Cricetulus griseus: one gene and its partner. The protein of the gene in region 2 purifies or fractionates together with the protein of the main gene of each other region. This does not show direct contact. Links are inferred from orthologs where the notes say so. Each region holds a gene or a part of one and is shown on either strand. Other genes may lie near its edges.

What was found.
Region 1: the proteins of Hdac4 (region 2) and Tbl1xr1 purify together in Homo sapiens (affinity purification with mass spectrometry; 3 studies listed by BioGRID and IntAct, with this or other methods). This does not show direct contact. The link is inferred for Cricetulus griseus from reciprocal best matches to the Homo sapiens genes HDAC4 and TBL1XR1.

The regions. Positions count from the first base shown.
Region 1 is NW_023276806.1:126,265,955-126,272,402, reverse strand, and holds part of Tbl1xr1 (F-box-like/WD repeat-containing protein TBL1XR1), read left to right. Parts: intron 1-2,294; coding exon 2,295-2,440; intron 2,441-3,798; coding exon 3,799-4,021; intron 4,022-4,520; coding exon 4,521-4,677; intron 4,678-5,100; coding exon 5,101-5,242; intron 5,243-5,658; coding exon 5,659-5,722; intron 5,723-5,809; coding exon 5,810-5,907; intron 5,908-6,448. UniProt on the Homo sapiens protein: F-box-like protein involved in the recruitment of the ubiquitin/19S proteasome complex to nuclear receptor-regulated transcription units. Plays an essential role in transcription activation mediated by nuclear receptors.
Region 2 is NC_048595.1:443,656,145-443,663,332, reverse strand, and holds the start of Hdac4 (histone deacetylase 4), read left to right. Parts: upstream 1-3,139; 5' UTR 3,140-3,154; coding exon 3,155-3,180; intron 3,181-6,514; exon of another isoform or gene 6,515-6,759; intron 6,760-7,188. UniProt on the Homo sapiens protein: Responsible for the deacetylation of lysine residues on the N-terminal part of the core histones (H2A, H2B, H3 and H4).

The sequences.
Region 1 (6,448 bases), on a different chromosome or scaffold from region 2:
AGTTTGAGACCAGCCTGATCTACAATAGCTAGTTCCAGGACAACCACCAAAGCCACAGAGAAACCCTGTCTCCAAAAACCAAACCAAAACAAAAAACAAAAACCCCAAGGGCAGGCCAGTACGGATGCGTGATAGGATCTGGAATCTGGTAGTTCTGAGAAATGTATTCAAGGAGAATGTAGAGAAAACAGGTTTTACTCAGCTTATGATTGTAAATATAAACTCCTTCCCAATCCTGGTGAGGTGCCCTAGTGTTTTATAATGTGCCTGTTCCTCTTTCTCAGTCCCTAAGGAACAACTGAGCAATGATGACTGCTGTTCTCAAGTGTAGTATTTTGACTTTTCAAGAGAATCAGGAAGCAGGATGGATTTGAGTCCCTATTGCGTCCTGTGACTGTCCCCAGCCTTAATTCATAATATAATGCAATAAAGAGCTGGTGTGTTTTCCATAATGGCATCTTCTGTTTCAAAGTCTTCTAAGTGGTTGCCCCCACCCCATTTTTGATTTGTTGAAGAACTTATTTGGGGACTGTCATGTTATTTACATAGAAATCCCCAACCTCCAACTTCATTGCCTCGTCTCCAGTCCTCTCTCTTAATACTTCCAAGAATTAGGCTTGCCTTTCTGTGCTGGTGATCTGGAAGCTAGACCTCCCCAGATTCTGGAACTTGGGATTCCTGAAGGATACTTCAGAAAGGTGTCTTTCTCCCCTGTCTCACAGCCACATTTGTTTCTGCCATCTTTGTGACTTCAGATAAAACACAAAACCTTTAATGTGCCTAAACACAAACTAGTCTGTGGGGGAAGTCATGAAGTTAAAACTAAAGTCTTAGAAAAATGACTGTCTCCCCCTCCCACCGTGGGCCATTAAGGAAGGCATGGCTAGCAGAAGTACAAGCTTCGAGGAGAACCCAGCCAGGTGTACTCTGTCCACCCACGAGCCTTTCCCAGCCACATGCTGTTTGGATGTGTACAGGCTTTAAACTTAGTAAACTGTGATGGGATTTCACAGAGAGCAGCCATCCTGTCTGTTACTGGAACTTCTCTTTGTTATCTGGACTAGACTTTCACTATAATATGAAGTTAATATAAAGAGACTGGCTATGTGAGTTTCATGCTTTGAAGTATTTTTTTAAATTATTTAACTTTTTGAGATGGCCTTTCCTTGTAGCCATCCCCTGGCTATCCTGGAAAATGTTGTGTAATGTGCCTCTGCTTCCTGAGTTTTGGGACTAATTTGTCAAAGGAGACCTACCTAGAAACTGGACTTTCATTTTATAGTTCTTTTCTTAAGTGCTTGTTTAGATGAGTTATTCCTAAATTATGAGTATTTTTTAAAACAATGGATATAAAATAATTTTATATAAAAAGTTCAAGTGTTATAATTTGGCTTTTTATTTCTTTTGGAGACAGTCTCACACAGTACAGGTTAGCAAAAGATAACCTTGAACTCTGATCTCCCTGCCTGCATCTCCTGCATGTTAGCAGTACTGGTGTGCACCATTGTCCACAGTTTTCTCAGTGCTGGCTTGGAGCCCAGGACTTCATGCATAACTAGGCAAGCACTGAGCCACATCTCCAGCCCAAGTCTGTTATCATTTTGCCTTTTTTTTTAATTATAGCTTGCATTTTATTCGCTAATTTTTTTAAGCTACAAAACAATGAAGGTGCTTGACAGTTTGTCTCTAAAATTTCAAATATACCACAGAAATAAGACCTGCCATATAAATCTTGATTTCTGTTTGTCTCATGAGGCAGTTTAGGTCCATTGTTTCTCAAGGCTTTTCAGTTTTTACATTTGATGCATTTTCTTCAGGAAAGCTGTGTTACTGTTAGAAATACTAGAGCCATTCGCTATGGTGGGATGCCTTGCTCCATCCTGATACAGGGGTGAGGGGCTTGGCCCTACCTCTACTTGGTAATCCAGACTTTGTTGACTCCCCAAGGAAGGCCTTACCCCCTCTGACAAGTGGGGGTTGGGAAGGAAGGAGGTGGGGAGAGGGGAAGGAGGGGGAACTGAGGTTGGTATGTAAAATGAAAAATAACTTTTTAAATTAAAAAAAGAGAAAAAGTACAAAAGAAAAACTGGAGCCAACTAACCTAGTAGATGCCAGAAAGTTACTAGCACTGCATTGATCATTGGTTTAAACTCATATTTTACTTTAGCTGTCCATTTACAATTTCAAGTGATGGCGTGTGATTATGAAAGATTATAAAGTTTTTTTTTCCCATTTGTAATTTAATGTGAAATTACTAAGAAAGTAAATTCTCAGGTCTTTTCTTTTGCTTTTAGGATTTTCTCATTCCGCGTTTACCTTTGGTATAGAGAGCCATATAAGTCAGTCCAATATAAATGGCGCCCTTGTCCCACCTGCTGCATTGATCTCCATCATCCAGAAAGGCCTACAGTATGTAGAGGCAGAAGTTAGCATAAATGAGGTAAGGCAGACGAGTTTCATTTCAGACACTGATTCTGATTCTTAAATGCATTTGTTTATTCAGTATCTGACTCGATTTCACTGTATTCAGACAAAATAAGGTCATCATTCTTAATGTACCAGTCAGGTTGTACTAGCTATGCATGTGGGCTTCGCTCCAGTGGCCTGAGTCTAGATTATTCCTTAAGGGAGGGGGTGGAGGGGGTGGGGAAGCTGTGTGTGTGTGTGTGTGTGTGTGTGTGTGTGTGTGTGTGTGTGTGTGTGTGTTTGTGCTTTAAGTAAGCACAAGGAAATAATTTTTAACAAATAATGAATTTTGCTTTATTGTACGGCAACAACTTGATGGCAAGCATTGGGAAATCCATTGTTTAGTGTCATGTACCCTGATTATTGAATCCAGGTATTTATAATGGATGCCCACTCTTGATGCTCAGAGCTGCATGTGTGAGGTTCATGTGTAAGTAGGGGGTTTGTTTCAGGTGTTGGCATGCTTCTGGGGCCTGATTCTGTAGATCAGCTTTGTAACTCAGGCAGACTCATTCACATTTGGACTGTCTGGGTGGATACTGGGAACATGAGGTGCTGTGACACGGATCTTAAATGCACACACTGCCTGCTCTTTCCTAGAAGTCTGCAGAACTTTGCTCTAGCTAGAAAGTTTAATGTATTTCCAGGACTCAGAACACGTTGAGGTGTTCCCTTTATTCTTTACTTGAAAAGTGAACACACTCCTCCCCTGCCCTTCCCCCCAAAAACATAAGTGGAAGGATTTTAGCTGTTTAAAGTGTCCATTCTCCTGTTGGTATCCTCAAGGATGGGTCCCTCATTGCCACAGTGAGCACCATCTACAGTGCTCTTGATTTACACCAAATGGTACACATCTAGATCACATATATGATGTGCTTGTTACCCTGTTATGTTTAAGGAAAATCTACAAGAAAAAGATCTGCCCCAGTTCAGTACAGGTGCATTTATTTTTTTTCCAAGGCCTGGATTCAGAGTACTGATGAGACACTGCCTCTTTGTTGTATGAGCTACTCTTATTGGTTGATGTTTTTTACTGACAGCCTTCATTACCTGAATTTGACATATTTCCATTTTATTATCTGTTTAAGAGCTTTTATGAGTGGCCTCTTGTATTGCATTTGTCTTTGTAGAGTTTAGCAGGATGTAAGTGAAGAGTAGAGGGCCATTTGCATCTGCCTCATTCAGGGTCATTCTTATTCTCTTCTCTCCTTCCTGCTCAAATTCAGAAAATTACCAGGTTTTCCTCAAAGTGAAGCTCTTCATTCTGTTAGTGGAATGCATGTCACCCTCAAGGCTACATCTCATTTTTCTTTCCGGGTTTTCCAATCTCAGGATGGCACCTTATTTGATGGTCGGCCCATTGAGTCTCTGTCGCTGATCGATGCTGTTATGCCCGATGTAGTCCAAACAAGACAACAAGCCTACAGAGACAAGCTTGCACAGCAACATGCAGCCGCCGCTGCAGCTGCCGCCGCAGCCACTAACCAGCAAGGATCTGCAAAAAATGGAGAGAATACAGCAAATGGGGAGGAGAATGGAGCACATACCATCACAAGTGAGCTAAGAATGTTTAGAGAGTCTCAGAAAACACTTGGCCTTACATAGACTGTCCCATCCTTAGAACTGAAATGATACCTCTATGCCCAACTTAGGTCACACAGCTCAGAGTTTATACTTAAGGTTCCAAAAAGCTAAATTCACTGTATATTCCTTTTTAGGTGTTTTTGAACCCTTTTTCTCTTAGAATTCCGAATCTGCCTTTGATTTTTAAGTAAAAGTTGGAATGTTCTCTCTTAAACATAAGTAAGGCTATGACATTGAGGAATAAAGATGACTCTCATGTTATATGAACGATATCAGCAACCCCTACTGGCAGAAACTCAGAATAATATTGTTATAGATGGTTTAATTCAGCCACATTATCATTCCAGCCATGCTGAGGTTCACTCCCTTTTCACTCCTCTTTCTCCCTTGCCTCCTTCCATATCCACATCTGTGTATATAGACCCTCACATGCTTAGGACTAGTACTAGAATTGTGATTACCTCTTACAGAGATTGTTGCTTCTCATGATGCAGATAATCACACTGACTTGATGGAAGTAGATGGGGATGTTGAAATCCCTCCCAACAAAGCAGTTGTGCTACGGGGCCATGAATCTGAGGTTTTCATCTGTGCCTGGAACCCTGTTAGTGATCTCCTGGCATCAGGGTAGGTTTTTCAAAGGATGTTGGGTATTTTGTTTGGTTTTAGACAGGATTTACTGTTTAGGGGAGGCTAGTTTTGAACTGTTGACCCTCCTGAGTCCTGAGATTAATAGGCCTGCTGCAACATACCCAGATCTACAGTGCCAATTAAGGCTACCTTACTGAATGGACTGTTGCATATTTTGTATGTATTTCACTTTCCAGGTGCTTGTTGCCTGCTTCTGGTCATGTTACCTTAGTAAATTGATATTTCCTGTGAAGTAACTTTAGAATTTCTTGGTAGGAGCTCTAAAATGTAGAATAAGAAAAATATTGGGAATGTTTATGCCTGGTAGTCTGCTTCTTACTCAGATGCTAAATGTATGGCCTGAGTTTTGGAATGCTGGAGAATGTCATGAGGACTTAAACCTATTTTTGAACTTTGAAGGTCTGGAGACTCCACAGCAAGAATATGGAATCTTAGTGAAAACAGCACGAATGGTCCCACACAGCTGGTGCTTAGGCATTGCATACGGGAAGGAGGACAGGACGTTCCCAGCAACAAGGATGTCACTTCTCTAGATTGGAATGTGAGTGTCCCTTGCTTTAGTGGTTTGTGAATGAAGGCATTTGAGGATTTGGCTGTACAGTCAACCTGGCTCCAAATTCCTAAGTCCTGATCAGAATTTTACTTTTTACTTCTTATAAAACCATTTTCGTGGTGGTGTTTTGATGTCCTTTTAGTCTGCAACCTACCTCCATCCTCATTCATGGGTGTCTATGAAAATATTCTGCAGAGGGTTATTGTCAGTCCTACTCCACAGCGGTTATGACCAGTGCTCAGATTTGGGGTGGGCCTTTCAAGAGCATTGACTTCATCAGGGAAAGGGGTTTTGCCGGCCTTTGGTGGCACTCACACAGAGATGAGATTCCTTTGTGCCTGGACATATTCATAGTAATTAAGTAGCCTTAATTGTGTAATGAACAAAATTTATTTCTCTGGCAGAGTGAAGGTACACTTCTAGCAACTGGGTCATATGATGGATTTGCCAGAATATGGACTAAAGATGGTATGTATTTTTCTAACTTTATTGATGTTCTATGTTATAAAGTTTGAAGTAATTTTAAAGTTTTTTTTTGTTGTTGTTGTTGTTTAGGTAATCTTGCCAGCACCTTAGGGCAGCATAAAGGCCCTATATTTGCATTAAAATGGAATAAGAAAGGAAATTTCATCCTAAGTGCTGGAGTAGATAAGGTAAATGATTATTTACCTAACCTGTATAACACTATATTTGAAAGTAATTTTTTTCTTTTCTGATAATCATTTAAACTTCAGTGCATTCAAGTATGGATTTTTGACAGTAATAGAAATAATTTCTTGTTGTCCGCTTGTTTTCCTTAATCTACTCATCATATCTTTTGTTTATAAGCATTCTTCATTTTTGCTGGAATTTGAACCTAATGAATGTTATCATTCAGCACTTTGTGCTTTGCCAGTTTATCTCAGTGGTGGCTGTAACTCTGGAGTGACTCCGTGGGCCATCCATGTCTTCCTGTGCTCTGTGAAGTAAATAGAGACTGGTTGGAACTGGCTCCTCCTCCTCTAGGCCCCCTCTACCACACTTCCCTAAATAATAAAAGGTTTAAGACTTTTTTTGTTCCAGCAAAGAACAGGCTATTAATCATTTGGGTGGTGTTGGGAAGGGGACATAAACTGGCTTAGATTCATAGTTCTGATGAGTAGTTTTCACAGACTGATGAAGGTATCTGGGGAGGAGAAGAGCCAGTACTGTCTT
Region 2 (7,188 bases):
TAGGATTGTACCATCACACCAGTTTATATAGTGTTGGAGATCAAGTCCGTGGCTGTGTTCACGATAGGCTAGCAGTCTGTCAACTGAGCCACATCCCCATTCCACTTGTCTGTCTTCATGGGCAGGGCTAGAGAACAGGTTGGGTCTGTCCTGGAATGGCTTTAGTGGGACACAGGGTTTGTGTGTGTTGTGTTATTTCCTACCACTCAGTTATTTGTTTCCTGGGTGCTTGGGTTCGTCATTCTCAAGGTTGAGTGTGAGAGCTCTGGTTTTTACCTTGTCCTCACTAATACTTGGTGCTTCTTTGCATAGAAATTTTAGATATTTTGATGAGTTAGTCTCACCCTGTTGTAGCTTTAGTTTTCATCTTCCTGTTGTCACAGATGTGGACACCTGTTTGTGTGTCGATTGACTGCTCATAAACTCTTTGTGAGACACTTGCTCTTACCATTCACCCATTCTCCCCCTCCCCCCATAAACTGGGGGTTGTAAACTCTTCGTATTTGTATGGATCACTTGTGCGTTTTTGGGTGTCAGTCTCTTGTTGAGTGTTCTGTGGCAGGCTGCTTTTCCTGCTGTTTGGCTGTCTTCTCTATTTTCTGAGTCTGGATAAATTGAAATTTTTCTTTTTCCTTTTTCGCTTTATGGTCCAAGGAGATTTCTCTAACTATATGAAAATACTGGTTTTTGTGGTCTTTTGGACTGGGTCTGTAACCCATCTCCTGTTTTCATGATGGGTTGCTAGGAGGTCATGCATGACCCAAGCATTATATTCAGAAAGACTGAAACCTTGGGATTTAGGGTGGGCTCTTAACTATTAACAGATGACCTTGCGTGTATTGGTTTCATTCTAGAATATTATGTTCTTTTCTTGTTTTTAATAAATCAATATAATATAATTGAGAATGTAAGTCTTCCAGGTCCTTCGTGTTTCTTCGTAAAATACAATATTGACATGTCAATTTACAAAAATCACAATTTTAATTTTTCTTTTTTGAGACAGGGTTTCTCTGTGTAACAGTCTTGGAACTTGCTTTGTATGCCAGGTTGCTACCACCACCCAACTTAATTTTAATTTTTATTGTGATTGCATAGACTACCAATTAATTGGGAATGTCAGTGTCTGCGCCATTGTTAGGTCTTTAAATCCATATACATAGAATATTGTTTTATTTAAATCTTTGAATTTTGCTTATTATATACTGACAATTTCCAATAAAGCTTTACATTTTTTGATGTATTTAGCCCTTGATATTTGCTGATAATCTGATGGTATCATAAATGTTTTCTCAGAGTTATTTTCTTTTTGTCCCTGGTGTATAGAAACACTTAAGTATATTGCCCATCTTACTTTACAACCTTATGTTAATGTAGACATTTTAATAGTTCTTGGTTGATTGTTCTGGGTTTTCTGTGCATATGTATACTGTGTATAGATGATGATATCACCCTTCCAGTTCTTTTTCGTGTCATATTGCTCTGGTGAGGGTCTCAGGAGATGGCGTTGTTTGGCAGAGGTGAGTGTGACACCTGCTGTGTTGTGTAGATGATCTGCGTTTGTTACTCTGCAGTCTTGTCATTTCTTGCTTGATGGTGTCACTAACTGACTGCTGCTACTCCACCAGCCACAGAGTGTGGTAAGGGACAGAACATGCCCTCTCTGCTCACACCTCTTTTTGGAGCGTCATAAAGATTTTTAAAAGAAATCCTCTTAAAGATTTATAGCTTCTAAGACTTGCTCATTGGAAGGGCTTTTACATCATATGAAGTCAAGCCAACTAGGATTTCAGAATTTCCAAGTTGCAGGTGTGAGGAACCCAGGTAAACTAGCACACGAAGCCATCATGCTACTTATTCTGTATAGAGCCCGAGGAGAAATGCAGCAAGAGATGTCTTTGTAGAAGTTTGTACCCAGTCTCAGACTGCAGTTAACAGGATGGCCAAGGTACCCATAAATCAAAGTTACTTACCTTCTCTCTGGCTCTTACAGACAGATCTTTTCATTTGTGTGGTGCCTGGAGCACCCTGGGCCAGCGGGCCTATATGCTAACTGTCTTCTGACCTACCTTGGTCTGTTTTCCCATACCTGTGATGAATGGCTTGGTTCATCGGTCTGCTCATTTCTAGTCATCTTTAGTCTTCTACTTCTGTATCCAGATTTTTTTTTTTTTTTTTTTTTTTTTTTTTTTTTTTTTTTTTTTTGTCTTTCTCTTAGGATCATGGGCCCTGGCCCAGCCTGGCTCTGAAATAGTCTGCGGTAGCACTAGGGACTGTCTTTTGGCCAAGAAGGAACTCCAGAGGCTGGTGTGTGATTTAATGGAAGGCAGGATTTCCAGCTCTAGAGATAGCACTCAGCCATCTTGTGCTATCATAGCAGCCTGTTCCAGACCCTACTAAATTCTTCTCTGACCAGGACCCCATAGGCTCTGCCTCTCTCACATGGAAGGTGACATCTTCTGAAAACCTTTTTTCTGGTAGCAGAGCTCTGAGTAGATGGCACTGAAGCTGATTTTCATCATGCTTTTGGCAGTGCATTAACAAACAACAATAAAAACCCAAGCCAACAAACTCATAATAGATTGTAGCTGCACCTACCTGCAAAAATTTACAGTTAGTTTTTGTGCATTCAGTGTGTGGAGAAGGAGATGTGGATGAAGCAAGAATGGCAGAGTGTTCATAATGATTGAAGTTGGTGTCTTGGGTTTGTTGTACTATTTGCTTTGCGTTGTGTTTGCATCAGGTTCCATAACGTGAAACCTTCCCTTCAGCAAGAGAGACCTATGCAGAAACCACAAGAAACTTAAATTTAAAATTACCTTTATAGATATTTTTTCTACTAAACTTGTATTTTATTTATTTATTTGCTTGCTTGTTTGTTTACAGGGTCTCACTATGTAGCTCAGGCTGGCCTGGAACTGGCTATGCGGACCAGACTGGCCTCTAACTCGCAGAGATCTATCTCCCTCTGCCTCCTATGTGCTGGGATTAAAGGTGAACACCACTAAGATCAGCCCATGTTTTTATTTCTTAGTCATCACATATGGAGATGATAAACAGTTTAGACCCATCAGAATGGAGAAACCCCAAATGGAACATACACCCTGGCATCAAAGCCTCTTTCTGCAGAAGCACAGCCCACGTCCTGAAGTGATGCATGGGCAGCTCTGGAAGAGTGCCTGGGTAAGGTTGGGTGAGCCTTGGAAGACCGAGGACAGAAGCAGTGTTGAGTGCCCAGTGCTGTCTCCTCATGAGCTTGTTTGTCATGTGTAGGGCTTTTGAAACTACTTATGAGTGTATAAGAACATAACCAATATATTGTATATTGTAGAAGCCAGGTTTCTCACTGTTAGAGAAAGGTGTTAAAAGTGAGGAAAGGGTGACTAGCAGAAATCTTGCAGTGGTTAGTTAGCTTGGGACCTAAGGCGTCAGTACTGAGTTGATGTAAACAAATGCTTAACAGAAAAGATGGAAAACATCAGGAAAGCATGAGCAGCTGATTTAATGGAGCTCCAGTAGACAGAGTCAAGTGAATAAGCCAGAGAAAGTTGATAACATTGGATTATTAGCATACTGCAAAGAAGAAATTTTCATCTGTCTTCATTAATGCAAGTGACCAAATGCAAAGATAAGGACCCCTCAGCGTTGAATTTGAACTAACATGTATAAGAGAAGGAAGCCAAGTGCCACCATCAGGCAAACACCCCCCCCCCCCCATGGCAACAGTTGCAGATGGGCCCTCTTGATGTATCTGAGATCCAGAAGATACCCCCTGTTATGTGTCTGTCCTTCCAAATAATTGACATTTAGGTCTTTCAAGGCTCTTGTTGATTTTATGTAAGTCCTTGGCATAAAGTTGTCTATGATGCTATCTTTTGTCCTTTTACTGTTTAGTCTGTAGTTCATCCCCTCTTCTTGATAGCATTTCATCATCGACTGCCTAAAGCTTTGCAATCACATTGATTTACCCCTTTCTTTCTCTCTTTGTTCCTGTACTGTACACTGCTCACTGTATAGTACAGTCTTGAGTTTGCTGTCTTCCTTCCTCAGCCTCCTGAATGACTGGGTTACAGGTGTCCCCCACTTTGCTTGGCCTTCTTCTTTCTTTCCATTTTTTTTTCATGCAATTGATTTCTACTCTTTGCTGTTGTCTCTTTGTTGTTTCTTTGGAGTTTGGTTTGCTCTTGTCTAATTTCTTGAAGTAAAGACTGCCATCACTGAATCAAGAGTGTCTTTTCTAACATGGGGATTCAGTGCTGGACATTTCATATTTTGATATCTTGTGTTGCTGTTTTCATTCATTGCAAAGTGCCTTCCAATTCTTCATTTGTGAAGTGTTTTGTTGTTGTTCATTTATTTTCCTTTTTTGTTGTTGTTGTTTATTTTGAGACAGGGTTCCGTGTAGCCCAGGCTGGTCTCAGACTCTGTGTAGTTGAGGATGGCCTTGAACTGCTGATTCTCTTGCCTCTACTTTCCAAATGCTGGGATCACAGGTGTGTGGCGAACTGAAATGTATTATTTAGTTTGCAAATACTTTGGGTTAAAGATACTTTTCTGTTGTTACTGATTTTTAAATTAATTCCAGTTTAGTAAGATAAGTTTATTTTATGTGACTTGAGTCCTTTTAAACTTAATGGTACTTGTTTTAATGGGCCTAAAGGTGTTCTGTTTCAGTGCTTGCTCTGTGTGTTAAGAAGGTGCTTCCACTGCTTTTGTATAGTGAGTGTTGTGTAAATGTCACTGAGTCACCTTGAGGGCTGTGTGTGTGTGTGTGTGTGTGTGTGTGTGTGTGTGTGTGTGTGAGTGTGTATGTGTGTGTGTGTGAGTGAGTGAGTGTGTGTGTGGTGAGTGTGTGTGTGTTTTCTAGTATTCTGCTAGTTTTCTGCCTGCTTTTGTGACAGTTCCTAAGAATAAGCATTGAGATCCTAGCTGTAATGGTCGATGTGCCCATTTCCTTCATGCTTTTCTTAGTTTTGTTTCTAGTGTAAAGTGTGGTTTTCATTTACTCCTCAGCTTACTGATCCTTCTGCCATTAGGAACTGGGCCTCTGCATCCTATGTGATAACTTGAGCCTAAAGTTTATTTTGTCTGATGCTAATGTCTCCTTCACAGATTGCTCTTGGTTAATGTTTGTTAGTTACTTTTGTCATTGTTGTGACCAAATACTTGACAGCTACAAGGGAGGGGAGATTTATGTTGGTTTATGATTTCAAGAGGGTAGGGAGGGTGTGGCCGAGCAGAACAGGTCAGGTCATGGTGGGCTAGGAAGCAGAAAGATTGGCTGCTGGTGTTAGACTAGCTCTTCCAGTTCCCTCTTTCATTTTCTGGGTCCCTCAGTCTGTGGGATGGTGCTTCCTATATCACGGTGGCTCTTAGTGCTTCTAGAAAGGCCCTCACAGACACACAGAGGGGTTTTCATCTCTTGGGGGTTTTCTAAGTAGAGTCAGTTGGGCAGTGGTGCTTAACCTGCACGGTTTGTGTGATAGATCTTTTCCTATCTTTAGTTTATTTGTGACTTCATAGCCAAGTTCAGCTCTATGAAGGAATGTATTGTGTAGCTTTGTCATCATTGCCATTGTGTGAATATTACACAGGCTAAGGTGACCACATTGTCACATGATGATCCTTTCTAATGTGACCACCCTGTGTTTGCTATATGCAGTCTGTTGTTGACTTGAATGTCATGTGGCATGTGTCTGTATTGAAAATGTGTTCGTGTAGGTTGCACATTGCTGGGCCTCTGTTGCTTAGGGAACACTGATGTTATATAAAATGAGTGACCTTCTGTCTCTAGGCCATTTCCAGTCCTACCTCATGGTGGTTCTTTCTACTTGGTACAAAAAAATTACTGTTTTTTATTAATATGTCTGACAAGCTCTGTCCCTTAGTGGAGTGTCTGGACAATTTGAGAAGGTCGCAGATACAGGTGAGAGTGGGCTCAGTTGTCCTTGATTCCCAAACTCAAAAGCATTGTCTCTTTATCCTCCTGTTTAAATTGTTGTTACTGTTTTTAAATCTTAAATTTCTGCATTTATTAGACTTTTTTGTTAGGACTATTTACTGTCTTTTTTGAACTGTGGTAATGTTTTCATTATACATTTTTGTAGTGTATTAGTTATGAACCTCATTCTTCTTTTAAGCCCTGTTATTTCTAGTGTTCACTTTTGCCAAGTTTGAGTTCTCCCAGAACAAACATATTGTGTCACAACAAAAACTCTTGGGTTCTCTTACAAGGGGCTTCTCTCCATCAGTGGAGCTTAGAGAGCTTGCTGGAAGCCTTGGGTGGGAGCTGTAACCCTGGCAAGGTAGGCTTGGGTGGTGCTCTGGTCTTGAGATGCTATTCTTTGAGGAAAAACCACAGTCCCCATCTGGGGCCTGTCAACAAGGTGTCCAGACTATTTAAGAGCACACCTCAGAACATGATTCCTGTCTTGGAAGAAAGTTTTTTGGAAGATTGGCTAGACATGTCTCAAGAAATGAGGGTGCATGGGGTAAGGGGTGGGGTGGTCAGAAAGAGAATTAGGCCAAATGAAGGTTTGCAAGGGAAGTAGTGGAGAGCATTGTTTAAAGTTTACTTAAATGGCATCCTGACCACAATGAAGAAAGCCGATACTGTGGAAGATGTCAGCAGTCACGTGCAGAATGTACCAGAGAGGCCACCCCGCCTGGGAGTGCAGAATAAACAGCAGATGCGTCTGAGGCAGGAGGGGTGGATCTGTGGAGAGAGTCCAGCAGCAGTATACAATCTCTCAAGAAGCCAGAGTGAGTTGAATAAAAATAATCAAGGGTGACTGAGCATTTTCCAGAGCAGGAAGATGGAAATGTATTCAAAGGGTCTTGCTGTGAGCAAAACGAATCAAGAGACACTTATCGGTACACCGTCTGACAGTATTTTTCGGTTTCCAGACTAAAGAAAAAGACATGGTAGCATTTAGGCAGAAGAAAATGACATTAGCAATACCCAGCCCTAAAGGTTATGTAGACAGAACTCTGGGATAGCTGGCCTTAGGCTATTCCATGGTGCCAAGGGAACAGCATTACAGGATAGATGGTGTGGCCTGAGACTTTTATACCTAGCCAGGATGTGTGTGTGACTTTGTGTAAGATGGCTTCAAAGTTGCCAGAATAATGGGGTTTGCAGGATTGTGCCACCTGCCTCCCTTTAAAGAAGTGGTGTCCTGACTGAGAGGA